Ovis aries: one gene and its partners. The protein of the gene in region 3 purifies or fractionates together with the protein of the main gene of each other region. This does not show direct contact. Links are inferred from orthologs where the notes say so. Each region holds a gene or a part of one and is shown on either strand. Other genes may lie near its edges.

Region 1 (5,820 bases), on a different chromosome or scaffold from region 3:
CAGCGGTGGAGGGGCGGCGGCGGCCTGGGGGGCGGTTGTCATGTGAGCAAATGGCTTCAGCGGAGGATATTGCGCTCGGTGGGACCCAATGGTTGCCCAGAAATAAAGGCTCACGTGTACGTGCACCCAAACGCCAGTGCTCTGGGGACGCCAGGGCCTCCATGCAAGGACCCAGTGAGACGGACCTTTCTTCAAAGCTTCAATTGTCTGAAAAGTGACCCAGAATCAGGACCTGGAAAAGCTGCATATTTACAGGTAGGGCCACCTTCAGCCACAAATGCACGGGGGTGCATCCCGGCCACTGCTCAGTTTTCTGCTCCTCCACCCGGCACAGGCGATTTCTGCTGCGTGTCTGGGGCGGGTGGGGGGCTTGGGGGGGTGGTTCCCAGTGGGAAAAGCAGGGAGGCCACAGAGGAGAGCCCACCCTGAGGTTTCTGTTAGGACCTGAGCATGCAGGCTTGGCTGCCTCAGAGGCAGGCCCAGCTGTGCCTTCAAAACAGCCTCAATTCTGACATGGCTGGCCTCTCACTCAAGTCCTCTTCGAGAAGGTTCTCCAGCTCATCCCTCAACAGGATCACAGGCTAGGCCTGGCTAGCCAAGCCCCTGAGAATGAGGCAGGTGGCCCCCGTTTCCCCAGGCAGACCAGGTCTGTGTCCTCAGAGCTCCCAGGACTGGCCTGGTGGTTCAGGTTAGCTTTCTTCGCTTCCAGCGCTGGGTGGGTCTTGTTGCCTGAAGTGCAAAGGCCCTGTGGGAGGGCTGGGATAGCAGCTCTGCAGGGGTGAGGGTGGCATCATCCAGTCCAAATGTTCCTCCTCCAGCCGTTCAGCCCTGAGTCACTAAAGCACAGAATTGGGGCGGGGGGGGGGGGTCGTCCTCCAACCTTTCCAGAAACTCCTCTGTGAGTCAGCTCACCAAGCCTTTGCAGGGGGCTGAGTGCCCAGGGCCAGGGGCACGGCTGCCGTGTGTCTTCCCCAAATGGGAGGGTCCCCAGGGGAGCTGGCCCCCATCTTTTCTGGTTTCTGTGTATTTTGCCCCTTGACAGACCAAAATGGTCCTATTGCTGAACGGCATGCCTTTTAGCACAGGCTGCTATCTTAGCAAAGGGCCCTCTGACTCCAGGACAGCTGGCAGCATGGATGGCACAGAAGCATGGGGCAGAGTGGCAGGACCCACCCAAACCACCACCGGTTTCGTTTGCCCACCTGCGTGCCATCGTCTTGGCAGTTTGATTCCACGCCAGCCCCTGGGGCCTTGCTGCTGAATGGGAGGTGAACGATCAGCCCGGCCCACAGATGCACCTGCCAGCAAGGGTAGCCCCGAAAGGCCCAGCCGCTCAAGAGGGAAGGGTGGTAAGGGCAAGCACGTGCTGAGGGCCGAAGGAGGCCAAAGGGCGGGCTGGGCCTGCCAGGCTGGTGGCATCTGGACCCTGCCCCAGCTCCCACACCCTGGAGAGAGACTGCTGCAAAGCTGGTGAGGGCCCTGGGAGATGGTGAGGTCTGCTCCATCCCCAAACATGCAGCCTCTGTCCTCTCTTTCCCAAAGGTGATGACTCAGGGGAATTCAGGCTACCGCTGGCATCCCAGCCCTCCCTGCGTCCCCCTCCACTCTGGCCCTGTCACCACACAGCGGCGTGACCCCCGGGAAACCACTGCCTCAGTTTCCCTACCTATAGCAGGGGAACCGTCTCCTCCAACTCCCAGATGGGTGTAAAAACCAAAGGAGGCCCGTTATGGGGGGCGGACCCTGGCCCGAGGGCCAGAGGAAAGCACCCCAGGCCTGCAGACAGCACCTCCTCCCTGACCCACCCCCACCGTCCTGGCCGCACCCCTTCCAGGCACTCAAGCCCCAAAGCTCCAGGAGCCAGAATCTGATACGGGAGGATGGCAGAAGACAGGGGTCGGAGGACCGCGGGTTGGGCGCTTCGGATGCTCTCACCCGGACCTTACAGCTTAGCCCCTGGGACATCAGGAGGTGGCCCCGGGGGCCAAGCTGTGCCTGGTCCTCGATGGCCGCAGGAGTGCCAGGGCGGACTGTTCCAGGCAGCCCAGCCCAGGCCCGACCGAGGTCAGGACCTCCCACCCAACTCTGGCGGCCCAGGCTCGGAGACCCCGCGGCGAGGCGGCTGGGAGCCGGGGCTGCAGGGGCATCCCCCCGCCCCCGCCGAGAGGGGCCGCCGAGGGCAGAGCGGGCTGCGGGCGGCAGGTGGGAGGCAGGCGGGCAGGGGAGGTGGGAGCAGACGCCAAGCAGGCCGCGGCCCCTCCCCGCTCCCTCCTCGCGCGCCTCCGCCGGCGACATTGCCCCTCCTGGGCAGGGGGCGGAGAAGACGGCGGCGGGAGGGGAGGAGGCGGCGGCGGCGGAGGCGGGATTTGGAGTTTCCCTCCGCAGCGGCGGCGGCGGCGGCGGCGGCGGCAGCGGCCCCTCGGCTCCAGGCGAGGCCGCCGCCCGAGGCTCCGGTGGCGCGCGGCGGCCGCGGCGGTAGCGCTTCCCGCCGGCCGGGCTTTCGGAAACTTCCCGGCCGCGACGCGCGGAGCCGGCGCAGGAAGCCGAGCGGAACGGAGGTGAGCGGGGCACGCGGCGCCCGGGCACCCACCCCACCCCCACCCCGCCTGGCCGCCCCCCCGACGTGTGTGCGCCTCCGCCCTGCGCCCCCAAAGTCTCGCCAGCGCGCACCCCGCCAGGCCGACGCACGCGCCCCTGGGAGACCCACTCAGTGCGCCCGCCCGTGCACTCCGTGTCCATGGCCACGCACACCCCCTGACACTTACACGCGCGTGCACAAACCGTGCACCGCGGACCCAGGGCCCTGCAGTGCACGCCCCGGCAGCCGCTAAGTCACCATCGACTACTGTCCCCAACTCAGGCCAGCACCCATCCCAGACGCTGCCACGCCTCAGTACACACCCAGGCGCGCGAGAGCGTGCGCGCGCGCGTTCACACACCCCACACACACACACACACACAGACGCACACACACACATAGATACCCAACACATCCTTGGGATATCTGCACTAACACAGCTCCCCTCGCCGGCCTGCACCATCTCCAACTCCCCATATGCTCATCACAGACACCCCACCCACGTTCCCAGCCCAGAGACGCTGACATCCACCCATCCCTGGACGAAGCCCCAACAGGAACCCTCACCCAGAGGCCGACGCTGCACTCCTGAAGCCCAGCTGGCTCCCCAGGCCTGCACCTCGTACACCCCCAATATGTGTGCACACCTGCAGGATTCTGGCTCTTGGACACCCTGGCCCGCACCCATGGCACATAGCCCTGCACGTCCTCTAACACATTTCAGTCCCTCCCTCCAACACCTGGCACACGGGTTCTGGAGGCTGCAGCATTTGGTGGCATCTCTGCCAGGCGCCACTGGCTCGCCTTTGCAGCAGTGGTTCACCACCCTGAGGCCCCCCAGGTGGCTCCCTAAACAGGCCCTGGGTCTCCCCAGAGACTGACTTGGCCTGGTCCCTAAGAGATAAGGAAGGCACTGGGGGTGCAAGGTACTGTACTTAGATGGGGGAGGGCAAGGGAGAGGCAGGCAATTGAGATGGAAGCCACCCAGCTGCGGCCAAAGGGGCCCCAGGTGTTGGCAAGCACATAGTAGGTGGCTTTCCTGGAGGCAGGAATCGGAGTGCCTGTGTGTGTGTGTGTGTGTCCGCCTGCCAGTGTGGTGGGGGGCGGGTGGGGGGAGGGTAGGAACCACGTGCACACGTGTGCTTCTGTGTGTCTGGGTGAGTGACCTGCTGAGGGAGAAAGCCACCCCCCGGGCTCCCTGGTGCAACAATTGGTTTCATTCATTCATGCCTTCTTTGTTCCCGAGCATTTCTTCCATGAGCGCCGCGTGCCAGGCCCTTCCCTGGGGGGCTGGGGCCAGCTCAGGGCAGGGTACACAACCGCTTCTGCCATGGAGGAACTCCCAGTCCCGCCAGGAGGCCGACCCGGCAAAAGCCATCCCCGGCGGAAAGTAGATGTGGAGGAAAAGACACCGGATTTGCCCGGAGCGCTGTGTCTGGGAGTTCTAACCGGGCCGGACGGCCCAATTGCCGCCACCAGGCCGGCGGGGACCCGAGTGTTTGGGGGTGGAGGCGGGCTTGTGGCGAGCAGGCGGGGCGCCGCTCTCGGGAGGCTCCCGGGCCCCAGGGGCGCATGGGCAGCGCGCTAGAGGCCTATGGGCAGCGGCGTTTCCGCGGCCTCCGAGGGGCACTGCTTGGGCTGGGCGGAGGCCAGGGGCGCCCGGCAGGAGAAGGGGGCGGGCGGCGGGCGCAGCGCCCACCCTACGGGAAGTGCGCGGCCGAGCTCTGCCCGCTTGAGAGGGCCTGGGGAGGCCACTGCGCGCCTGGAGCGCGCGCGCCTGGGAAGTGGGTGCGGGGCCCAGTGTCGGAGCCCCCACCTCAGCCGGCGCTGCGGGGGGCCTGGCGAGGGTCGGGGGAGGGGGGCTTGGTGGCACTCAGCCCTGCACTGCGGAGGTGGCAACAGGTTTCAGGATATCTTCCTGCTTCTGGCGCAGCGGGAGCTGCTGGCGCTGGGCAGTGAGCACTTTGGTGATTGAACGCCCCCCCCCCCCCCCCCCGCAAAGCTCACTCTCAGCTGACCAGCAGAGATCTGGGCAAGGGGCAGACCCCCACGACCCCCGCCCAGGGGCAGAATTTGCCTCCCTGGCCTGATGCTGGTTCCCTCCCCCAGAGAGCCCTCTCCAGAAAGCAGGCCTTGGCACGGCAGGGCGACCCTCTCTCCAACCCCCGAGACCACAGCACCGGACAGGAGCAGGGTGTGTCTCTCTTGGGCAGCCACCCCCACTCTGGCGACTTGGCCAAGCCAGACACACCAGGCTGGCACATCCCGGAACCCCTGGGTGCCTTCAACCCCAGCCCACTCCGGGGTCCTGCCCACAGCTGCAGCAGGCCTGGAGGGAGCCCCCCAGGGTTGGTGGCTTCCCACCTCTGCCTGTGGGAACTGGGATGTGAGAGAAATGAAATGCACACACAAACCCCCGCCCCCCTCCACTCGGCTCCAGCCTAGCTGGTAACCTCAGGGAACTGAGGTCTGGAGCACAGAGGAGGGAGACAGAAACCTGGGGGAAGGGGAGTGAAGAAGGAATAGAATCAGGACAGGCTGCAGAGGAGGCAGCCCAGGCTAAGGGCGAGGGGACCCAGCCCAGCTGCCCACGGCCCCTGGAGCCAGGTGATGGGACTCATCCCAGAGACCAAGACATGGGGGAGTGTGGCTGGAGACAAGTCTCAGCCTGGTGGCCCACTGGGCTGGGAAGGGAGGCAGGGTAGGAAGGGGCAACCAGAGGCCCCTATGAGGCAACCTGGCTATCTGTGACCTGCCCTCTCCCCAGCAATACCTCTTGCTTTTTCCCATCCTATTTTATGTTCTGATCAGTGACCTTCCAGCAGTTTTGCACCTTTCACTCCTTAGTTACCCCTCTTATGGTACCCATCCTGTGTGCATAGCTTTACCTCTGTTTACTTAGTTCCTTGGGGTAGATTCCCAGTGTGGGGTTCTTCCCAGCTCTGGATATATATTACCAAGTTAATTTCCCAAAGAGTCACACCAGCATACCTCTAGCAATCAGCAACAGAGCAACATGCCCATCTCACAGCAGCCATGCCAGCACTGGGTATTCTCAATCTGAGAACATTTTACTAATGTAACAAGCAGGAAGTGTTACCTTGTTTTCTGTCATTGTTAGCTGGGCTTTTTTTTTTTTTTTCCTTCCCATGTGTGAAGTTGTACCTTTCTCCAAATGACTTGCACCAGTTGCATGTGCTCCTTCATGCAGTCTTTTCTGGTTCCTTGCCCATGTGCCTATA
Region 2 (5,896 bases), on a different chromosome or scaffold from region 3:
TCTGCTGGACCTCACCAAGGCTGCTCCAGGACACCAGGAGTTCTCCAAGATCTGGACATGTCTTTGAGTGTTCTTTGGCTGGTTGTCACACACGACCCAAAAGTTAAGGTAAAATTATTTTAAATATGGAAGATAGAAAATGTGAGTGGACATGTGTAGCCAGTTAAAAATCCTCATTAAAAAAAAAAAAACAAAAACACACACTTTTGCACTTAATCACACAAATCTGCAAAATCAGGACCCCTCTTTTTGGGTGCTGGTCCAGTTTATATGGTCATCTTCAATGACAACTTCCCTGGGGTGGAGGCCACACATACCCATTTATTTTATACAAATTAACCAAGGTCAGGCATGTAGTAGGCACTCCATAATTAAACATCAATATTTGGCTTCAAAAATCTTTAAACTCCTTGACCTGGCATTCAAGACCTCTTACTCCTCCTCCATTTACTTTGCTAATCTACTAGAATTGGGTCTGTGCTGTATCACCATACCTCCTCGCCCCGAATTCTTTACATCAGTCAAATGCCAACCATTATGTGGGTCTCAGATCAAATCTCTCCTCTGGCAAGAAGACTTCTAGACAACTCATAACCTCTCCTCCTTCTGAAGACCTGTAGCGCTTAGTGAAGCACTGTCCAACAGCGAAGCATTCCACTCTGTGATAATGGAAATGTTCTAAATCTGTGCTATATGTTTTAAAACATGTAACAGTTGCCTTGCTGGACAGGATGGGCTTATAGTCTCACCATCTCTTTGAGGAAATCAAGTTGCATTACATGGATAAGAAATTTATGAAGATGTCGCAGTAGACTGCAAGGTCTGTGAACAAGGTATCTTGTTCCTCATAACAACTTTCACAAAGGTGTAAAAAGTAAATATTTGTTGATCTGTACATCACCTCTGAGAAAGCCATAAGGTTTAAAGGTGCTGGACTCGGCCTCTGGAATGATGGCCACCACCTCTGCCCTGTCTCACCATCTGAAAGTCATGACATGCAGAGGCAGGAGGAAAGAGCAACCTTCTGGAGATACAAATGACCACTGATTAAGCCACAAGACACTTTGGTTTAAATGACATTTAGGTCATGACTGTCCTTCACCTACAAACCTGCCTCAGTAAATCTCTCTTTCCATTAGCAAATAGCTAAATTCTGATGGTAAATTATGCAGACTAAAAAGTTACCTGAGGGGAAGGAGAGTGAGAGTTTGGGACTGACATGTACACACTGCTATTTTACAAGAGATAATCAAAAAGGACCTTTTGTATAGCACAGGTAATGCTGCTCAATATTCTGTAATAACCTAAACGGGACTCACCTGTTTATTTTAAATATCTCCCTTGGAGTCTTATAGGATATTGATGGTCTAGGTATGTGTTAGAATTTCACTGACACTTTTCCCAGTAGGGCCTACAGTCACTCTAAATTAAGACCTAATACTTAAGCATAGATAGTCAAAAGCAAACAAAATATACAGAAGGTACAAGCTCCATCACTATGGTATGTTGCTGCCTGGGCAAGTGTCTCGTTCCTTACACCTCAATTTCCTTATCTTCAAAGCAGAGTTAAGGTTACATGAACTATCTACCCTTTGTGGGTCAAGTCATAACTATGGATATTTCTAGATGGCTATTCTTCCCAAAAGAACTACATATAAAGATAGAAGATTTATGAATTTTCTAGTGGTTCTTTGTGGTAGATATGCTAGCAAATATAGAGATTAAGGTCAAGCCTCAGGGACTCCCCTTGTGGTCCAGTGGTTAAGAAATCTGCGCATTCAATACAGGGGAGTCAGGTTCAATCCCTGGTGGGGGAACTAAGATCCCACATGCCTCAGGGCAACTGAACCCACACACCACAACTAAGACCCTATCCAGCCATAAATAAATAATAAATACACACAAAAAAAGCCTCTAGCATCTACAATTTCTTTTTTTTTTTGGTATTAAAGACTTCTTTCCTCCATCCCACTGTGCAAATGTCACTGCAAAAATTTTACTAGTAGCTCAGCCTGCTGCTGCTAAGTCGCTTCAGTCATGTCCGACTCTGTGCGACCCCACAGACGGCAGCCCACGAGGCTCCCCCGTTGCTGGGATTCTCCAGGCAAGAACATTGGAGTGGCTTGCCATTTCCTTCTCCAATGCATGAAAATGAAAAGTAAAAGTGAAGTCGCTCAGTCGAGTCCGACTCTTAGCGACCCCATGGACTGCGGCCCACCAGGCTCCTCCATCCATGGGATTTTCCAGGCAAGAGTGCTGGAGTGGGGTGCCATTGCTCAGCCTGGCACATGTAATAAGGAAATAAATGTGCTGACTCAGGGAGTACAGACATATTTGATATAAAACATAAAATTGGCTAAATCAAGTCATAACAGTCTAAATCCACATATAAAAGATTGAGATAATTTACAGTTCTGATTTCTTCAAACCAATGCTGTATTAGCTCAGCCAACCAAAAAATTACAACCCACACACAGAATAAATATGCCCTTTATTTATTTAACCAACCAGCAAGGACATGTTATATACATTTTTAATAAGAATAAGTGTGTCAATATCATGCATCCACTTGATATAACACAGAAAGATGTGGACTAAACATGGAAAAAACCACTCAGGTGACGGTTTGAATTAAGCTAACTGAAGTGCAACCACACCCCCAAACACAGGTAAAGTTTGCACACATGGCTTTGCCAAGGCCAGCCTGTCTTTGTTTCTCTCTCCGCATTTACCCAAGATCTTGGCTCTGAGACAGAAAACTCCCACTCTCTATTGGTTCATTCTGTTCTATGCAATTAAGCAACACCACAATCCAGTAAACGCAAGGGCTCAATTATTTATCTTCTGGCCAAGTTTACCAGGTGGTTATAAAAGAACAATGTCAAGGAGGAAAAAGGTTTATTTCTCTTTAGAGCTGGGTTGATGGGGGTTTTATTTGGATTTTTTTTGGAAGAGGGAGAAGGGAAACACGACTTTACCCCAGAAAAAGGCTGGGGGGAGTTTAGAAAGAGTACAAGGCTGTCAATTTCCCTACAGGAAACTTGAATCTTATGCAATAATCCTACCCATAACCAAACAGCCCGCAAGGCTGTAAAGGGAAGACACCTATTCCTACCTCCTCCAGGGGGGCACAGCTGGCTCCTAAAGGAGCAGGAACAGGGCAAGGCGGAGGAAGTGGCTCAGCCGGGAGACGCCGGGCCCGCCGAGGGGCGGGGAGGAGGCGCTTGCCAACCCCCCCCCCCCCACTCCGTGATCTCCGCCGGCGTGACAGTGGCTCCCGTGGCCGGAACGTCCCCAGAGCCCCAGGGAGCAGGAAGTCGGGGGGCTGTCCCTCGCTCCTGCCCCCCAACCCTAGAGTACCCTCGCCCCACGGTCCTCCCCCTCCAGTCCATTCTCTCTCTTCCTCTGCGTCTCCCCTTTTTCCAAAGAACGAAACTTCCTTCCAGCGCACCCCGTCCCTTCAGAGGTCGGCTCCTGTCATCCCGGGGAACTGTCCCTTCACAGCGACTCTCCGTGTCTCCTCGTATCCCCCTGACCCCACTGAAGTTTCCATTCACTACTCCCCCAAACACCCCAGAAGCTCCCAGCGCGCCCCTCCTCCCCCGGGATGCCCAGGCCTGGAGGCCGTCGGGGGGCAGCCCCACCCTTAAACCCCCTTCACCTGCTGCTCGGGCTGAGGCCCGACTGGCCGGGGCTGCGCTTGCGCCGGGGTGCGGGCCGCGGGGCTCCCTCAGGCCGCGGAGTCTCCCTTGGCAGAAGCGGGGAGAGCGCGGAGCTGGGGTGCTCGTCAGGGATCCGATTCGGGCTCTCTCCCTCCGCGGCGACGTCGGAACCCCAGGCTCCCCCTCCCTGTCTACGCCGCCTCAGCTCCGGAAACCGCTGAATTACAGCCCCTCCAGCCAATCCCCGCCCAGCCCCCGCTTGGCCTAGGCACGCCGCTCATGTATAATTCATAACATGACCAGTTTTCTCGGCCACCCAGAAGCCCTGCTGAGCAGACTCTACATCCGAAGCCCCACCCACTGGCCAATGAAGAGAGCCTCTGGGTGGAAGGGCGGAGCCAATACAAGGCTGGGAACGCCCCTGTTCTGGCTGTTCCGACTCTTAGGGCTCCTCCCTCCGCAACAACTGGGGAAGAACCAAGGCCCTGGGCAGAGGAGCCCGGGGGGAGGGAGGGAAGATGACTGGAATGTCCTGCTGAAAACTCAGCTGAGTTCCTGGCAGTGCGTGACGTCAAGACACTTTAAATGCCCCTGATGCGGCTCCCTTCTGCCTGCTCTCCCTCTTCCCGGCCCTTGGCACCACGTGGGGGCAAGGTTGGGGGCACTTACCACGTGGGAATCAGCCAGTTAGACAGTCCTCAGGTGTCGCCAGATCCTTTAGGGGCCCAACGCCCGAAATGGGTTTCTGGGGACAGCAAAAAGAACATGGGTTACTCCCGCCTGCTTTGAACTTCAGTTTCTGCGTGAGTCGGGACACACACACCCGGAAACATGACGTGGAAATAGAGTAATTACTAGAGTGCGTGGGGAGAAGGTAGTGGATTTAACCCTGCCCTTCGTTCCGTCGCTTCAAGCATCAAAGGCCAACGGCTCGCACATTGGCAGGTTCAAGGGAATAAGGAGACAGTACCAATGAAGAATGACACGTATACACATTGTTTTTATGCGTCTGAGTTGAAATACTTGAAATTGCGTGCCTTTATCTTTTTCGCCTCATCTACTTCGAATGAAAGTTTTACTGCATTAACCAGTAGTTTATAGGAAATGTAGACATTTCACCTCACATAATAGATGTTCTTTGCATTATAGTGTGTGTGTGTGTGTGTAAGACTATTAGGGTTTTTAAAAATAACAGCTATTAGTGTTTGTTTAGTACAAAGAGGTATTAAAGATGAAATCTAAAAAGGGCCTGTTATCTCAACACCCAAATAAACCTTGATGACAGCTTTTTCAATGAAACTAACACATGTTTGTGGTTAGAAAATTCAGACAGTTCAGAAAACGTGAAAATTAAAACTGAAAATATGCCTCCTTCCCCCACCAGTCCTTCTCGCCAAGGATAGCTATTCTTTAATTTCTGGTGGGAAAATCAATGACTCCTAACCTTTGGGGAATCTGAGAGTTTGTTGGAGACTATGGATTCTAGTCCCAGAAATACACAGCATGACATTTTACTCACAAATTCTTCTGGTTCCCTAGTTTAGACCTTTGGACCACCATATATGCAAATAAAGAGGTGAGAGCATCTATAGGGTAAATGGTAGGGTCTTTCCTGGTGGAGCTGCAAGTTTCCTATTGCTCTCCCATAGACCCAGCCCAGCCTGGAAATTGCTATATTTGTCTGTAGTGTGTGTATGTGTGTGTGACTGCATTCATCTTAATCTTCCCTTCAGGGCAGATCCTCCACCTTCCACCTCACCTAAACTCTGCTTCAGCTGTGCTTTCCCATGCAGTTGACTACCTCCTTAATAACATAGGGGCTGATATTTATATATTTCTTACTGATACACTCTTGTTTCTCACAACAATTATAAGCGGCAGATAGAGGCTATATTATCCACTGATAGGAAATTATGATAGAAATAGGATGATCATCTCAAGATCACAGATACTCAGAGGTATACCAGATGGGTTCAGAGCCAGGTTTTTATTATGTATTATATTTATTACTTTTAAAGTCTTTATTATTTCTTTGTTGGGCTGCCCTGGGTCTTCGTGGCAAGGTCTTTTTTTCCCTCAGTTGCGGCATGTGAGCTCTTCAGTTGTGGCATGTGGCATCTAGTTCCTTGACCAGGGATGGAGACCAGGGGTCACACCTGGACCCCCTACACTGGGAGTGCAGCGTTTTAGCCACTGGACCATTCGGGAAGTCCCCAGAGCCAGGTTTTTAGAAT
Region 3 (6,005 bases):
GCAATCAAAGCAAAGGCCTATTTGTGGCAAGATATCTTCTGCATTCTATGTAGGTGTAGGACTCTGCCTGTGCTTTTAAGCCTTATTATGGTGCTGTTCCCCTTATCTTTATCTGGCTGTATATGCCCCCATCTGGGTCATGGGTTTCACTGTGATAAACTTTACTCTAGCTGGGCTTCTCTATTCGTTGTATTTCCAAAGATTATTCGTCTCCTGTTTTCTGCTGCTGTGTAATATGGTGAAGTTGGTTTCGCAATGACTTTTTATTCTGTGTGTATTTTTTGGCGCGTCTTGTCTTTTTTTTATCGGGGGATAAGCACTTTACAATATTGTGTTTCTGCCATAGCTCAGCATGAGTCAGCCACAGGTAGACGTATGTCCCTCCCACGTGAGCCACCCCCCTTCTCCCTCCCCACCCCACCCATCCAGGGTGTCGCAAGGCAAATCCCCACCTGCTGCCTGGTTTGCACACGGTAATGAACATGTTTCCAGGCTGCCGTCTCTGTTCGTCCCCCCCTTCTCCCACCGTGTCCACAGTCTGTCCTGGGTCGCCATCGCTGCCCTGCAAACACGTTTATCAGTCTTTCTAGGTTCCAAATGCATGTGTTAATATACAATGTCTGTCTGCTCTTTTGACCATCTTTGCTAACAACAGTAAATACTCAGAGTTTGTCCTTTGAGCTGAGATTTTCATATTTTTATACAGGGATTTTAGCTACTTAGGTGTTTTTTTTTTTAACATTTCCCTTATTTGTTAGACCTACTTTAACTTTCTGTCATCTAATTTTCTAGTATTTTGACTTTATTTTTTTTTTTAATGATTCCTTGCCATTTCTTTTCTGATTATAATGTGAGGAAAGTGTCTATTACACCTCTGGTTATAGGTCTCGATTTTTGTTGTTTGAATTACCTTCTTCCCTTTATCTCTTGTAACTTGACACGAAGAGCTACCTCATTGAAAAAGACCCTGATGCTGGGGAAGATTGAAGGCAAAAGGAGAAGGGGGTGGCAGAAGATGAGATGGTCAGATAGCATCACTGACTCATAAGCACAAACTTGAGCAAACTCCGGGAGACAGTGGAGGACAGAGGAGTCAGGATGCGGCGACTGGACCACAACAAAAGCGGCAAATAGTCGATCAGGCAGACATAAAACTTTTTACACTGAAAAAAAAAGAAATTACGCGATCTTTTACAAGAACTCTTTTCTCCGTTTTATGCAAAACGAAGGCTTAGTACCTTGCTTTTCCCTCTTTCTTCCTCTCTGGTTTCCATTGCATTAATCTGAGGTTAAAACCCCGGTTTAAAAAAAATCCTCTTTCTCAATTTTTCCCTTTTGCCGTTTGTTTGTTACCATAGCAACAACAATTACTTCAGCTCATCAGCCTCAGTCTCTACTGAGTGGTGTTTTTATTCAGTTATCTCTCCATCTTTAGCTGGTTTCGAGGCTCACTGCCAGTTCTTTTCTCTCATTTCATCATTCATGAGTTTCTGATTCATGTCCCAGTGATTTATTGTATGATTCTGAGCAATTTTTGCAGAAAAGGGAGTTAGTTGGGTCGTGTATTAGTCACAGACTCTTGTGGTTGCAAGTGACAAAACCCTACCTCAAATTGACTTCAGTTAAAAAGGAGAATAGATATTGTCTCACGCACTTGTGAAGTCCAGCCTTGGCTGAATCGTTAGACCGTGTCGTCAGGAAATTGGCTCCGTCCCTGGACCCTGCTTCCCCGTCCCAGCTTTACCCTAGAGGGTGGTTCTCAGGCTGTGGCGTGTTTGGCCCCAGTCCCATACCCCCTGCCCTGGCAACCTTGGCGGAAGGGAAGTGCCCCTTTCTAGTTGCTTCTGCAGAAGGCTGGGCTGAGTGCCATTGGCTTGGATCAGGTCTCACGCTCATCTTTTGAACCAACATCTGTGACTCTGACTGGAGATCCCTGGGTCACAAGCTTATTCCTGACTTGGGGGGTGGGGCCAAATGCTCTAAGTGTGTAGAAGGGAGAGTTCACCCCCCACAGAAAGAAAACTGGATTGTTGCTACCAGAAGGAGAAGGGGTCAATGTAGGCAGAAAACAACAGATGCCCATGTCTTCCAAGACCACAGATCTGCGCACTGTCGCCTCTAGAGGGACACTCAGGAAGACATCCAGCAAGCCCTCTAAGCAGGGGCTTAGGTCTTGGGCTTCCCTGCTGGCTCAGCTGGTAAAGAATCCGCCTGCAATGTGGGAGACCTGGGTTTGATCCCTGGGTTGGGAAGATCTCCGGAAGAAGGGAACAGCTATCCACTCAAGTATTCTGGCCTGCAGAAGTCCGTGGACTGTATGTATAGTCCATGGGGTCGCAAAGAGTCTGACGCGACTGAGCAACTTTCACTTAGGCTTGGATAGCGGCTTCCGTGGGCTCCTGGCTCTCCAGAGCCATGTTCTCAGGTTCTCAGCTCCCTGCTTCTGGAAATTTGTCGTTGTCAGTCTAGCTAGATGATTCTCCCCACCGGGCCTGGCTCGCGCCAGCCTGACTCGGCAGAGGCTGATGTGTATCTAAACCCCATCTCGGAGGGAACAGCAATTGCCAAAGGACCTGAGCAGGGCTGTCTCCTGGTCAGTGCACTTTCCCTGTCGAAGACCACAAGGGAAGCCAGACTCTCATCACAGGGTTGCTTAGCGACCACAGAACCAGGCAAGAGAAGTTCTCCGGAGAAAGTCAGTGACTTTAAAACGCCCACAGATGCTAGAAGAATGAGGAGACGACACGTTACCCGCAGAGAGACAGGTATGTGGCGAGGTTGGAGGGCAGAAAAGAGCTGAGAGCTGTCTGGTCTGTCTGGAGCACGGGGAGCGGGCAAAATCAGGGTGGAGGGCAGGCGCTGTCATACATCACTTACATCTCAGCTAAAAAGAAAATAAAACAGTGCTTTCCCAAAGTGTCAGATGCATATGAAACCACTAGGGATCTTGTTAAAATGCAGATCCTGAGTCAGTAGATCTGGGGTGGGGCCCAGGATATTGTGTTCCGAACAGACCCCCACCTGATGCTGGTCTGAAGGCCACACTTTGAGTAGCAGTGATTTCCAAAATACTGAAAAAACAGAATGTATAGGAGTTTGCAATGGGTCAGATGCAGGGAGGGGTTGGGAGTAAGGTAAGATGCATTGTGAGGAGCATCCCCAGACCTCAGCTGCAGGACCTGGGTGGTGGTAGGACCCAGAAGCCTGAGATGAGGGACAGGTCTGGGTGGGGTCGATAGTGATCAGAGATGACATATACCGAGCGGTCGAGTGGGCCTTGGAAAGCATCGCTAGAACAGAGCTAGTGGAGGTGATGGAATTCCAGTGGAGCTGTTTCAGATCCTGAAAGATGATGCTGTGAAAGTGCTGCACTCAATATGCCAGCAAATCTGAAAAACTCAGCAGTGGCCACAGGACTGGAAATGGTCAGTTTTCATTCCAATCCCAAAGAAAGGCAATGCCCAAGAATGCTCAAAGTATGGGACAATTACACTCATCTCACATGCTAGTAAAGTAATGCTCAAAATTCTCCAAGCCAGGCTTCAGCAATACGTGAACCGTGAACTTTCTGATGTTCAAGCTGGTTTTAGAAAAGGCAGAGGAACCAGAGATCAAATTGCCAACATCCCCTGGATGATCGAAAAAGCAAGAGCTTTCCAGAAAAACATCTATTTCTGCTTTATTGACTATGCCAAAGCCTTTGACTGTGTGGATCACAACAAACTGTGGGAAATTCTGAAAGAGATGGGAATACCAGACCACCTGACCTGCCTCTTGAGAAATCTGTATGCAGGTCAGGAAGCAACAGTTAGAACTGGACATGCAACAAACTGGTTCCAAATAGGAAAAGGAGTACGTCAAGGCTGTATATTGTCACCCTGCTTATTTAACTTATATGCAGAGTACATCATGAGAAACGCTGGGCTGGAAGAAGCACAAGCTGGAATCGAGATTGCCGGGAGAAATATCAATAACCTCAGATATGCAGATGACACCACCCTTATGGCAGAAAGTGAAGAGGAACTAAAAAGCCTCTTGAAGAAAGTGAAAGAGGAGAGTGAAAAAGTTGGCTTAAAGCTCAACATTCAGAAAACGAAGATCATGGCATCTGGTCCCATCACTTCATGGGAAATAGGTGGGGAAACAGTAGAAACAGTGTCAGACTTTATTTTGGGGGGCTCCAAAATCACTGCAGATGGTGACTGCAGCCATGAAATTAAAAGATGCTTACTCCTTGGAAGAAAAGTTATGACCAACCTAGATAGTATCTTCAAAAGCAGAGACATTACTTTGCTGACTAAGGTCCGTCTAGTCAAGGCTATGGTTTTTCCTGTGGTCATGTATGGATGTGAGCGTTGGACTGTGAAGAAAGCTGAGCGCCGAAGAATTGATGCTTTTGAACTGTGGTGTTGGAGAAGACTCTTGAGAGTCCCTTGGACAGCAAGGAGATCCAACCAGTCCATTCTGAAGGAGATCAACCCTGGGATTTCTTTGGCAGGAATGATGCTAAAGCTGAAGCTCCAGTACTTTGGCCACCTCATGTGAAGAGTTGACTCATTGGAAAAGACTCTGAAGCTGGGAGGGATTGGGGGCAGGAGGAGAAGGGGACGACCGAGGATGAGATGGCTGGAGGGCATCACGGACTCGATGGACGTGAGTCTGAGTGAGCTCCGGGAGTTGGTGATGGACAGGGAGGCCTGGCATGCTGCGATTCATGGGGTCGCAGAGTTGGACTCGCCTGAGCGACTGAGCTGAGCTGAGCTGAACTGATTAGGTGCCAGGAGCTTTGCATCTGTTGTCTTATTCTGTGCAATAGGGAGGTAAGTGCTGTTGTGATCTCTGTTTTAAGAGTGGGGAAACTGAGGCCAAAGTCATACAGGTAGTAAGCAGAAAAGCCAAGGTTCAAGCTCTACCTTGCGGTCTGAGTGCAGGGCTCCTGCGGGTAACCGTCGACAGTTTGGAAAACGTGGAGCCGAAGCCCCTGTAGGTTGTCTAATGGATAACCTACCCTCTCAGACTCCTGCCAACTTGTTCCCATTTTTATTTGGCATTTTATTATTACAGAGGAGACATCGGCAGAAAACCAGCTTTCAGCTTTTTAGTTTTCGGCTGTGCTTTGAAACATACAGGATCTTCGTTTCCCAGCCAGGGATCAAATCTGCGTCCCCTGCATTAGATGGTGCTCTTAACCACTGGACCACTAGGGAAGGCCCAGCTTTCAGCTTTTCAAATAGTCCTTTTTTTTTCTCTCTCTCTCTTAAATGATCAAATACTGTGTTTTTCTATCTCTGAGAATTCAGGACTTTTCCAGACTATTATTTTTTTAATTCATTAATTAACTTTTGGTTGTGCTGGGTCTTCCTGCTGTGTGAGTTTTCTCTAGGTGCTGAGAGTGGGGGTTACTCTTCCTTGCCATGTGCAGGCTTCTCATTGCAGAGGCTTCTCTTGTTGCAGAGCAGGCTCTACGGGCTTCAGCAGTTGCTGTGAATAGGCTCAGCTGCTCCACAGCGTGTGGGATCTTCCCGGACCTGGGACAGAGGGAGTGTCTTCTGCATTGGGCATTTTTTTTTTTTTTTTTTTTTTTTACTACTGAGCCACCAGGGAGGCCCCTCCAGATTATTTCTTGAAGTTGGTTTCTGTTTATTTTTCTGGATTCAGAGAACTCACTCAATTCTCCCTCTCCACCCCAGATCTTTTTAGACCGAAGGCAAAATTTCTTTCGGTATAATTTATCACGTCTAATGGATTTGCTGTCTTCTTCGGGGGTGCCTATAGCTCGACTCTCTGTGGTGTTCTCCTGTGCGTTTTCTTCTCCAGGAGCTTCATCACTTACTTTTCCTCATAGTTGTCTTCTATGTTGCTGATCGGCCCTTCTGCGTCGTTCCATATGCCTTTTACTGCTCTGACCACCACTTTTACTTTGGCTATCGTGATTTTAATTTCAGGAGACGCTCCATTTTCTCAGCCTGTTCTTTCAAACCAATGTCCTCTTTTTAATTGAGAAT
Region 4 (5,829 bases), on a different chromosome or scaffold from region 3:
CCAACCTGAGGCAACATGGAATCTCCCTGAAAGCCCCCACCCAAGTCTGGAATCCAACAGGGGAGCCTTCCCGATGGGGACGCTGGGGATCAGCAGCTCCTGGTCCCAAAGGGACCACTCCCTCTAAATCAGAGCTGACTCTAAACCCTGACCCCTGGCCTTGGGCAGACTGGGATGGCCAGCATTCCCCACCTGGTCCCTGCCCCATTCAAAAATCCCAGCCTCCAGTCAGTCCCTCAGGGCTCCAGGGATATGACCACATGACCTCAGCTGGTCACAGACCCAGGGTCCTGTACCAGCAGTTCCTGCTCCATTCACAAGTGACAGCCCCTGACAGCACCTTCCACGGACCCCAACATCCACAGCCCCATCCCTCTCTTGGGAATCCAGGTGTTCACCCCTTGATCCTCACCCTGCTAGAGAACCAGGTCCAACAGTCTTGTTCAGGGCCCAGAGGCTCTTGGGAACCCAAGAGACCGCCTACTTCATGTACCCGCCAACCTTCTCCAAAAAACTCCTGTCTCCCTTCATGGCACCAAGCTTCACGCCCCCGCCCCCACCCCCAACAAGCCCCAATCTGGCTCTTGGACTCAGGGCGGGGGCCGAAGCCCCTGAGACATCAGTCTAGGGTTGGGAGGGTGTACTGATTTCCACCCTCCCCCCAAAATTAAAGCCACCCTTCCCAGCCCACCCGCCCCAGCCTCCTTGTCCCGGTAACCAGGCAACGTGTGTGCAGCGACAGTCCTGGGAGCGGGGGAGCAGGAGGCTAAAAATAAACTTTGCAGAAGAGAAGGAGTGAGAGAGACTACATGCAACACAAAGGGAACTCAGAAGGGAGGTGGGGGGCTCTGGAAAGGCCTCAGGCTGCATTCTGGGGGTTGACCCAGGCCCCCTTAGTTAAGCCCCCTCCCTGAACAACCTCACCCCGGGGCCAGGACCCTGGCTCCCACTCATGGCAGGGACCCTCCGCCTTCCCAGGCCAACCCCAAAGCCAGCTTTCCTCATCGGACACGGCATACATGAGGGCCTGTTCCCAGCTTTGGGGGGAGAAGGAAGATGGGGGGTGACGTCAGGGTGTCTCAATGGGGCTCTGTTCCCCAGGCTTTGGAGCCAGGAGCCAGGCACGGGCAAGGGGAGCATGTGTGAGTGTATGTTGTGTATGAGTCCACGTGCTTAAAACAGGGAACCACCCGGCCTACACCAAGAAAGCCTGGGGATGCAGGACCTCCGGGGCACGGGGGGGACAGTGAGGCAGAGACAGAGCAGCTGACAGAAAAACTGAGGACACTGCCAGACAGGGTGGAGAAGAGGCAGCAGACAGGAAGGGCTGGGATGGCGGGGCCCCAGAAGACACACCTGGATCCCACACAGGCGGGGTAGGGAATCTCCCAGACAGACTGTGGAAACCTGGGCGTGGGGGGGCGGGCGCGGGGTGCAGAATTCTCGGGCACCCCTCAAATTCACCTTAACTGCCCAAACTTTTTTCAAAAGGACTATGGGGGTCGGAAGGGAGGAGCAGTGGTAGAGGAAGAACACGCCGGCCTCCTGGGGGGCCCCACCACCTCCCCCACTCCAGGCAGCCCTCGGTGGCGCCAGGGCCGGGAAGAAAACAGGAAGTGGGAAACAGCCGCGGCAGAGGAGAGTGGGGCCGGGATAGAGGATCGGATGGAGGGGCGCGCAGCGGCCAGCCAGGAGGCAGATGGACCCATGGACCCACCGGGAGGCCAGAAGAGGCTCCCGCCCCTTCCCCCAGCCAGAGAACCCACACACGGCGCGGCCCCAAGACTGGGATGGGGGAGCGGCCCAGCCGGTCCCACCAGGCGAAGGCCCATAGCAGGGAGCGAAGACGAGGCGGGGTTGTCTCGGTCCCTCGGCCCCCTCCTCCGGCGAAGGGAGGCTCCGGCTGCCCCCGAGGCCCAGCGGCCCTGGAGCCTTCAGGAGCCAGAGAGTATGTGGGACGCACGTGACTGACCCTACTGCACTCCGAGCCCCTGCCCACACCCAGCCCCCTCCTCGGCCCCCAATCCCCAGGCGCCCGAGCCCGGCTCGGAGCCCTTTAAGAGCCGCCCCCACCCGCCCAGCGAGGGGGGGCGGGGTGGGTGGGCCGGTCGGGGCACACACCCGCACACAGGAGCCGTAGCCGCGGCCGCCGCCGGGGGAAGGAAACAAGTTTGAACAGCGGCGCCCGGCCCCCTTCCCCCTCCCCCGTCCCCGCCCCGGGCCGGATTCCGACGGGGTAGACGGGCAGGGGGCGGCTGGGACCCCTCCCCCAGCGCGCCCGGGCGCAAAGTCCAGCCTTGGAGAGCCCGGGGGCGGCGGGGGAGGGGAAGGGGGAAAGTCCGAGTGGGAGGGGGGGTTAATCCTGCTGCCCCCCGCCCGCCGACCGAAGGGGGGGGGAGGGGAACCTTGGTCCCTTAAGGAGGAGCAAGTTGGCGGGGAAGAGGGGGGCGGAGGGAAGAGACGGCCGGTTGAAAGAGAAGAGCTGGATGAGGGAGGGGGAACGAGGGGGGGGAGCCTCCGCGTCCCCCCCACCTTCCCCACCCTCCTCAACCCCAGGTCCCCCGCGGCGAGGGAGGAGGGATCCCAGGTCTCTCCGGAGCGACCTTAAAGCCGCGCGTTCTAAGGTCGGAAACAAAAAGTTCCTTTTTCGAACGTTCGGGCTGCGCTTTGGAACTTTGCGACTCGGCGCGGGCGGGGGAGCGAGGAGCCGGCGGAGACGGGCGGGGGAGGGGCGGCGCAGCCCGGACCCCGAGTCCCGGGCTCCCCACTCACGCCCTCCTCCTAGAGGCCATCCCGTATCCCCCTCTAAGCCGGTGCGGGGCACGCATCGCGGTGAAGGTCAAGGGCCGGACCGTGCAGCGCGGAACCGGGAATAGCGGGCCCTGTGGATAGCGCCCCCCCACACACACCCCGCACACGTCCCGGCCCCCGGAGTGCAACGTGACAGAGAGGCTGGGAGGAACCCAGCCACCCCCGTGATCCCGGGTGTCAGGGAGAGCCCAGGTTTTGGGGTCCAGGCAAGGAAAGAACCAGGACTCGCAGCACCCAACCACTGCGCCCAGAACCAGGAATTGGGGGCCCGGTGCACACCCCCGCTCGCACCGCAAGAAGCAACAGGTCTCGAGTGCTTGGGGGGTCCCCCGCAACTGGGGAACACTCGGGCTCCCCCAGAACCCTTCAGCCCCCCCAAAGTTTCTCCGCCTGGTTTCCCGGGGCAACAAGTCTCCCCCACACGTGCTGCCCCCGCCCCCACCTGTGTCCGCCGGGGTCTTCATGCTGGGGGGCCCGGGGCTAGGCGCCCCGACTCCGGGCCGCAGCTCCCAGCGCCCGCGCTGCCCCGTCCCGTCCCGAGCACGTCGGGCCGCCCTCGCCGATTCACCCGGCCTCGCCTCTCAGAGCCTCTCCCCTCCCCGCCGCCGCCTCCCGGGTTAATATCGCACTCCGGGGCCGGGACGCCCACGCCCCCCGGCCGGCGACGTCACCGCCGCGTCGCCATGGAGACACTGTGCCCGCCCCCTCCCAGCGCACTCACACAGACACACACAGGCACACATACATACACACGCGCGCGCACGCACACACACACACACACATACACACACACACACACACACTCGCCGGCGCGCTGCCACTGAGGACCGGCCGGCGCTAGGCTTAAAGGGGCCGCGCGACGGGGGAGGAGAGAAGGAGAGACTGGGATAGGATGGGGTCCTGGGGGTCATGACCTTTCTCTGAGGCTCCAAGTCTGAAGATAACTTTAAGTCCTCAGGATCCGCGACTTGCCGCCCCTCCTCCTCCTCTCCTGCCCACTGCGGGGTCCACATTTTCTTTGGAAGCCTGTAAGAGGGGTTGGGGGATACCTTATGATGAGTGTCAGAAACTTTTGTGAGGAGTATGGACCTTTTCGGAAGAGGCAGAACTTTCTCTGCAGGAGGCCGGGGGGGGGGGGGGGGGGGGGGCGTCGGGTCAAGACCTCGGAGGATGATCCAGACCACATTTCCCAGGCTGGCCTTACCATGCGCACCCCCTCCAACCCTGAGCCTGACTGGGGGCAGCTGTCCAGGGGTGGGGTGGAATGGGTGGGAAGCATTTCCCAGTGTCGGAAATGGGGAGGCGGCTGCCTCCTCCGCTCCTCCAGGGATAGGGTCTTGGCCTTCCAGATAGCCCCAGTCCCATCTGGGGAGGAAGTGACCAGAGAGAAAGCACGCAAGAGCCGCCCCCCCATCTGCGACTGCAGCTGTCTTGGGAACACGCTGGCGCCGGAGGTACCCCCACTTCCACCTCCAGGGCAGGGGGGTTCCGGGGGTGGAGCCAGGATGCGAGGGGGTGACCAAAGTCTGAACAAATGTGCTCCCCAGGGACACTAAGGGGTCACCAGGAGAGAGGAAGGCAGGGCTTAAGGATGAAGGCCAGTGCGTAGGGATGTGTTAAGTCTGTTCTCTGCAGCTGGGAGGAATGGATGGAGCCTGAGGCTTCGGGAAACAGGAAATCAGCAATGATCAGATGGCCAACAGTAGAGGGCAAACAGCAGTTATATTCACAGGCTGATCCTAGAAACAATCTCAGAAAAGACTCTGAGGTACCAAAAGAGAGGAAAGGGGGTTGGGGAGGAGATGCTCAGAGAGAGTGAAACCAAGATAGGGAGAAGTGAATAGAGAGGAAAGGCCTGAAGGGTTAGGTTCTGGGTGCTTAGGGCTTCAAGCCCACCCTCCTTTGGTGGGTTCCTAGAGGCCTTAGGGCAGTCCCTGAGCAGTGCCTCAGAAGAAGTCTCAGGCCTCTTCCTGGGGAGACCAGGGCCTCCCAGGAAGCATCACCCCCTTGGGGAATTATGTAACCTTGCCTACGGACAGTGCAGCTCCCCCACGGATATTGTAACCCTCTGGGAGCAGTGTGGTCCAGCAATAATAACCATCATCATTGTTATCATAACAGCTCCCGAATTGCTAACGCTCATGATGTGCCTGGCGCTGGGCCAAGCGTTGTCGGGACATCTTCTCATTGAAGCCTCACAAAACCCCAAAGAAGGGAATTCCTATTGTTAGCCCCATTTACAGATTAATGAAGCAAGGCTCAGAAACTGTCAGAGCCAGGATTCAAATCCAGTCTATCCAATTCAAAATCACCACCCTTAACCAGTATAGTTTATTATGTCTTTTACTGCCCCACCCCTCAGAAAAAGATGATGCCAAGTTTAAAAGATAATAGATCCAAACTACAGCCTCAGAGACCTCTATACTCCCACCAGAAGACGGAGACCAGGGTGGCAACCCAAACTGCTATTTCCTGTATGTGAGAGAGATTGTATAGAGCAAGTGAACTGATCTTTTTAAGCCTCAGCTTCATCATCTGTAAAATGGGGGTATTAATGATTAGGTTATTATGAGAAATCAGAGATTTGAGAAAAGTAGGCAATAAATACTGGTGATAATTAGCAGAAGTGAGCAGCATAACCTGTAGACAATGTAAGCCTAGAGATTCCAACTGTAGGCAGCAAACACACAAGCATGGACAGTGAAATTGCCTGTTAATGGCAGAATTCTACCCTGACTCAGCTGGATAATTCAATCCCACAGTTTCTGTGAAACACAGTCATGGATGGTGGGCGTGCCTCAGGGGAGACTTTCAACCACCCACAGAGAATGGGAAGCTCTGATGAAAATGACATGTCCACAGATATTATAACACGACTGCACCATGGAAGTGTGGACTGTGTTGGATAGTTCAGTTGCCTTGTGAACACTGGAAGCCACCCCCAGGAATGGTGAACCCCACAATTACTGTGTGAAACACCCAGAGGTTGTGAACTTGTGATGAGAACTCTCACCGCTG
Region 5 (5,226 bases), on a different chromosome or scaffold from region 3:
CTTGAATGATTCCATTTTATTGGGCAGTTTTTCTAATTTCTACATTTCCTTTGAACTTAACTATGTATTAAGATCTAATAAAATAATTTATTAAGAAAAGTTATCCTGATTAAAATAGTCTCTGTTGGTCCATCAATGGGGAAATATGACAAAAAGGTGGCTTATAATATACCAACTGTGTAGATCAGGTATTTTAGGTGAAGAATGACCACTTTCTAAGTAGTATACTATTAATACCATTAGTGATTCTGGAGACAGTATGGGGAGAGGAGGGCAGAGACAATGAATGCACCTTAAATAGAAGAATTAATATGATTTCATAAAATACAAGTTGTATAATTAGGTCAGTGATTTAACGTGTAATTTTATTTCATGATATATAAATATTAATCAAACACCCAGGAATCAGGCAGATGTCAAGCAGCTAGACAAATTCTCTAAGGAGGTTATGAGCAGGGACTTCCCCAGCAGTCCTGTGGCTATGACTCCATGCTTCCAATGCAGGCAGCATGGGTGTGATTCTCAATCAGGAACTAAGATTCCACACTTGGTGCGTGGTGTGGCAAAAAAGAGGTTACAAGCAGAGTTTCTAAGAAAACATAAACTGCTGTTTATGAGGAGAAAAAAAAGGCAGATTTCCAGACCAAACTGCAGTATAATTTAAGAGGACTGGGATGGGATCTAGAAACCTGCAAATTATTAACCAACTTAGTGGCTTTGGTAAGGGATAACTATGGAAAAAAGCTTGCCTCTATTTCTTATTCGAATTGGATAAATGGATGATGGTGGGACAGAATGAACATTATTAGGAGAATTAAAGTAGTGGCAAGAACAAGCCAAGATATTTTAGCCTAGCATAAGAGGTTCAGACTAGAAAAGGTATTCCACATCAAACTAAAAAAAAACCTAAGGTTTCAGAATAGGGAAATGATAGTATGAGAATGATTTTTAAGATTACTGATTTGATGGGATGAGCGAGCAAAGCTGGAAAGCGTCAGAACATTTAGAATGAGGTAATAAGGGTGAGCATCAAGGAGGAAGTACTGACAATTGTAACTAGAATCTCAGAGAACACTGGTAAAAACGGTCTAACTTCCTTTCACATATGTAAGGACAGGAAGTTAGTATTAAATAAGAGATTTTAAAAATATTATAAACACAATAGCAAGCAAAATAATAATAATAAAAATAGTAAGAACAAAATAATCTTCAACAGGTGTTTCAGATGTTTACTTGCATGATTCTTGAAACTCCACTAAGAGCTCAGGAGCAGTTTGTATTGCCTGGAAGGAGTATTAAAACAGCAGTGTTAGTTTTCTAAATTAAAACTAATGCATCGGTCATTATGAACAAAAAGCAGTTTACCTTCTCTAAGAAAGATGAAGCAATACTTGTATTTTATTTATATTTCTTCATTTGCTGTTTCAGCCAATTTCAGTTTATTGCCAAAGATACAGAGATTGTAGTCAAGAAAGTGAGAAAAATGGACTTCTCCGGTAGTATAGTGGATAGGTATCCACTTGCCAGTGCAGGGGACACGGGTTCAATCCCTGGTCTAGGAAGATTCCATATGCCAAGGAGCAACTAAGCCTGTGTGCCACAACTACTGAGCCTGTGCCCTAGAGCCTGTGTTCCGCAACAAAAGAAGCCACCACAATGAGAAACCCTCACACCGCAGTGAAGAGTAGCCTCCACTCGCCACAACTAGGGAAAGTCCAAGAGCGGCAACAAAGACCCAGTGCAGCCAAAAATAAAGTGAATAAGTAAAATAAAAGAAAAAAGGAAAAATCTACTTCTCCAAAATTACAAATTGGATGTTTAGGTTACAAAATGTCAAGGGTGTAATAGAGGGATTAATTCTGGTAGGGAGTGGGTAAGAGCAAAAAAGGCAGACAAGGGGACTTCCCTAGTGGTCTAGTGGCTAAGACTCCACACACCCTATGCAGGGGCCCTGGGTTCAATCCCTGGTCAGGGAACTAGATTCTACATGCTGCAACTTAAGAGTTTGCATGCCACAACTAAAGATCCTGCGTGTTGCGACTAAGACTACACATGGCCAAACAAACAAATAAGTAAATAATATAAAAAAATAAAGAGAGAAAGAAGTACGATAAGTTTTCAAGAAAGATATAAGATATCAGAAACTGTTAACAGATTTTCACAGTTCATAAAGATAGATAACTTGCACAGTGCTGTGAAAGCAAATCCAAAGGAAGATAACAGTTCTGTATGTTTATTCATTTCTTACCTTCTTTTAATGGAGTTTTGGGAACAAAATTTTCTTTACTTTCATGACAAAAAGCCTTTGAAGGATCAAAGTGTTTGATACCCAGAACTTTATTCAATTCCTCCTGAAGTTTTGCTTCACTTTGTTTTCTTTTAGTAAGCTGAGCACGGAGTTTTAACACCTCCTATTGTAAGAAAAAATACAATCAGTAAATAATTACTGAAGATCATGTTAGCGAAATGTGCTACGAATATTACTGACAATTCCACAGTTGCTCTTTTTTCAAACCTTAATGGCAAAAGCTACTGCATACAGGCTTTCAGACTATAAATTACAAAATGAACAGCTATGACAAAGAAGATAACAAGTCATTTAAATCTTCCTGTCCCTCTATAGGTACAAAGTCGTATTTCTGATAAAAGTAAATGGCCTTAAGGTAAAATAGCAAGTGAAGAAACAATTATTCAAGCAGATCCATAAAAGCGCTTTTTGTTTTTTAAAAAAGGCAATGTCCTGTTGTGTTTGAACTAATCCTGTTCCCTCTCGCCCTAGTACTTGCTTAGCAAAGCAGAGACTCCACACCAGACCTCTGCAGACTGGAGCAGAGGGTTCCCCACAACCCCCATCCCCCCACCCCACGCTCCCAGTCAGAGGCTTCTCCTGAGGAGCAGGATGTCAGCATCTCTCATCTTGCCCCCAGCTCTTCCTTGATCTGAACAACAGCAAATGTGGCTAAGAGGTGTGTGTGGGGGTCTTTTCTTTCAAGAAACCAAGGTGCAGGGTGCTGAAAATGCCCAGACCCTGATCACCCTTTACCTAGCTCATGAGACAATGGTTCCAAGCCAACAGACGCAAAGTGAGAGACCCTCAGATTGCTCATCTCCCTCTCCCCCAAGTCTACTAAACCTCCAGCTACAGGGACAGAGGTGTTTATTCACAGGAAAGCTTGCCATCACCCCCAAATCCAGATCTGAAGCCTTGTCTCAGAAATTCTGCCTAGGAGGAGAACACAGAGCTCCTAATTTATTCCCAGAGCAAGTGACTTCACTTACAACAGAGCTTAGAGAAGTTCAAGCTGAAGGATGCCCTTAAGAACAGTAGAGGCTGTGTGGTGCAAGGGAATGGGAAGTGATTAAAAACTGGGCTAAATTGTAAGCTGCCTAGTTTGTAGAAGAGAAGTGCTGAATAAGACAGGTGGGAGGAGCCCTCCTGGAGCCAGAACAAAGTCAATCACTGACCTAAAACACAGTTCCAACAAACGAACCAGAATCAGATTGTACATTGATTGTACACATTAATCTGTTGAGGAATTTAAGACCTGGGGCAATGTTGAAAATAACAGAGGGATAATCCAGCAACTATGTGTGATCAGGGAGAGAGGGAGGCAGCCTTACCCAAACCAGCATCACCTCAGGGTGACTGTGTACACACCCCAAACTGAACCTCCCTCAGCAGCAACATCAGAGGCACAAACTAGTGGGGAGTGGGGAGGAGGAATACACTGCACTAAACAAGAAAATAACAACATACCTGCAAAGGGATGGCAGTACCCAGAGGTGCTACAACATATTGTCTAAAACATCCATTTTCTAACAGAAAAATTACAAAGTACACAAACAGGAAAGCATGATTTATACACTGGGGAAAAGCAGGCAACAACAACTGCGCAGAGAGTAACCCAGTATCAGATTTATCCAAAAAAGGGTTTAAAGCCATTATAAACATTTGAAGAAGTAAAGGAACTTAAAAAAAAGGGAGTAGACTCAAATTCCTACAATCAGAAATGAAAGAGGGGCCATTGCTGCTGATATTATCAAAATCAAAAGGAATGTAAGGGAATATGGCACACAGTTGTGAACCAACACATCAGAAAACGAAATGGACATATTCCTAGAAAGACGCAAACTACTGAAACTGTCTCAAGAAGAAATAGCCAATCTGAGGTACGACTATATCGCTATAAACTTCCCTGTTAGAACTGCTTTTGCTGCATCCCATAGGTTTTGAGTTGAAATAGTCAATCTAAATAGATCTATTATAACAAGTGAAGAGATTGAATTATTGATCAAAAACCATCCACAGAGAAAAGTCTAGGTCCAGTGCCTTCACCACTAAATCCCACTACACATTCAGTAAAGAATACCAATAATTCACGAAATATTCCATAAATAGAAAGGGTGAAACACTTCCTAACTCATTTTATGAAGTCAGTATTACCATGATAAAATAAAAACCACCCACCCCAATATCAATAAAAGTAAACGTGACTTTACAAACCGATTTGAGATTGCTATTTTCATCTTTCAGTTTCACAACATGCTTGATTTTTTGCTTTAGATTCTGATGACCCAATAATTTAGCATATGAATCTCTTAGATTATTTAGTTGTTCCTGAGCTGCACCATGTTCATTCAACAAAGCCTGTTTCTCTGCTTCAAATGCATCCAGTTGTAGCTGAAAAAGATTTTTTTGTAAAGTTAAGACTTAAAACTATTAAATCCTACTTGACTCATATTAACTACAAGGAAAACTAAAGTGAAAGAAAGTAAAACGGCAAGACAGGATTTCCCTGGCGGTCCAGTGGCTAAGACTGCAGGCTTGCAATGCAGGGGGGCCAGGTTTGATCCCTGGTTGGGGAACTAGATCCCACATGCTGCAATTAAGACCTGTACAGCCAAATAATAAATATCTACACAAGAATCTCAACAACCACCACAACAAAAAAGGCAAAAAACAAAAATAGATTTACTGACTCACGCTTAGGGCTCTCCATAAATTGTCTTTTTTTTTTAAATAAAAAGTTGTTTTTCATTTCAAAGATCAATGAAACAGAAAGAAAGAAACAATGAAAGACCTGCTAGCGGGGCTAATCTGTATTACCACAACACATTATAGCCAATACTGTCTTCTGACTCTAAGTACCCAGATTTGCATTTATCCTTTAAGTGTTAGTTAGAGCAACACTGAGAAAGATCATAACAAAATAAGTGTCAAATATT

Evidence for each region.
Region 1: the proteins of MAPK1 (region 3) and DUSP9 purify together in Homo sapiens (affinity purification with mass spectrometry; 5 studies listed by BioGRID and IntAct, with this or other methods). This does not show direct contact. The link is inferred for Ovis aries from reciprocal best matches to the Homo sapiens genes MAPK1 and DUSP9.
Region 2: the proteins of MAPK1 (region 3) and STAT3 purify together in Homo sapiens (affinity purification with western blotting; 3 studies listed by BioGRID and IntAct, with this or other methods). This does not show direct contact. The link is inferred for Ovis aries from reciprocal best matches to the Homo sapiens genes MAPK1 and STAT3.
Region 4: the proteins of MAPK1 (region 3) and ERF purify together in Homo sapiens (co-immunoprecipitation; 3 studies listed by BioGRID and IntAct, with this or other methods). This does not show direct contact. The link is inferred for Ovis aries from reciprocal best matches to the Homo sapiens genes MAPK1 and ERF.
Region 5: the proteins of MAPK1 (region 3) and hyaluronan mediated motility receptor purify together in Homo sapiens (affinity purification with mass spectrometry; 4 studies listed by BioGRID and IntAct, with this or other methods). This does not show direct contact. The link is inferred for Ovis aries from reciprocal best matches to the Homo sapiens genes MAPK1 and HMMR.

The regions. Positions count from the first base shown.
Region 1 is NC_056080.1:80,630,775-80,636,594, reverse strand, and holds the start of DUSP9 (dual specificity protein phosphatase 9), read left to right. Parts: upstream 1-2,410; 5' UTR 2,411-2,558; intron 2,559-5,820. UniProt on the Homo sapiens protein: Inactivates MAP kinases. Has a specificity for the ERK family.
Region 2 is NC_056064.1:42,219,202-42,225,097, forward strand, and holds the start of STAT3 (signal transducer and activator of transcription 3), read right to left. Parts: upstream 3,837-5,896; 5' UTR 3,662-3,836; intron 1-3,661. UniProt on the Homo sapiens protein: Signal transducer and transcription activator that mediates cellular responses to interleukins, KITLG/SCF, LEP and other growth factors. Once activated, recruits coactivators, such as NCOA1 or MED1, to the promoter region of the target gene.
Region 3 is NC_056070.1:72,033,077-72,039,081, forward strand, and holds the start of MAPK1 (mitogen-activated protein kinase 1), read left to right. Parts: upstream 1-2,716; 5' UTR 2,717-2,731; coding exon 2,732-2,765; intron 2,766-6,005. UniProt on the Homo sapiens protein: Serine/threonine kinase which acts as an essential component of the MAP kinase signal transduction pathway. MAPK1/ERK2 and MAPK3/ERK1 are the 2 MAPKs which play an important role in the MAPK/ERK cascade.
Region 4 is NC_056067.1:50,600,106-50,605,934, reverse strand, and holds the start of ERF (ETS domain-containing transcription factor ERF), read right to left. Parts: upstream 3,407-5,829; 5' UTR 3,276-3,406; coding exon 3,254-3,275; intron 1-3,253. UniProt on the Homo sapiens protein: Potent transcriptional repressor that binds to the H1 element of the Ets2 promoter. May regulate other genes involved in cellular proliferation.
Region 5 is NC_056058.1:72,740,842-72,746,067, reverse strand, and holds the end of hyaluronan mediated motility receptor, read right to left. Parts: intron 4,682-5,226; coding exon 4,505-4,681; intron 2,412-4,504; coding exon 2,249-2,411; intron 1,284-2,248; coding exon 1,264-1,283; 3' UTR 345-1,263; downstream 1-344. UniProt on the Homo sapiens protein: Receptor for hyaluronic acid (HA). Involved in cell motility. When hyaluronan binds to HMMR, the phosphorylation of a number of proteins, including PTK2/FAK1 occurs.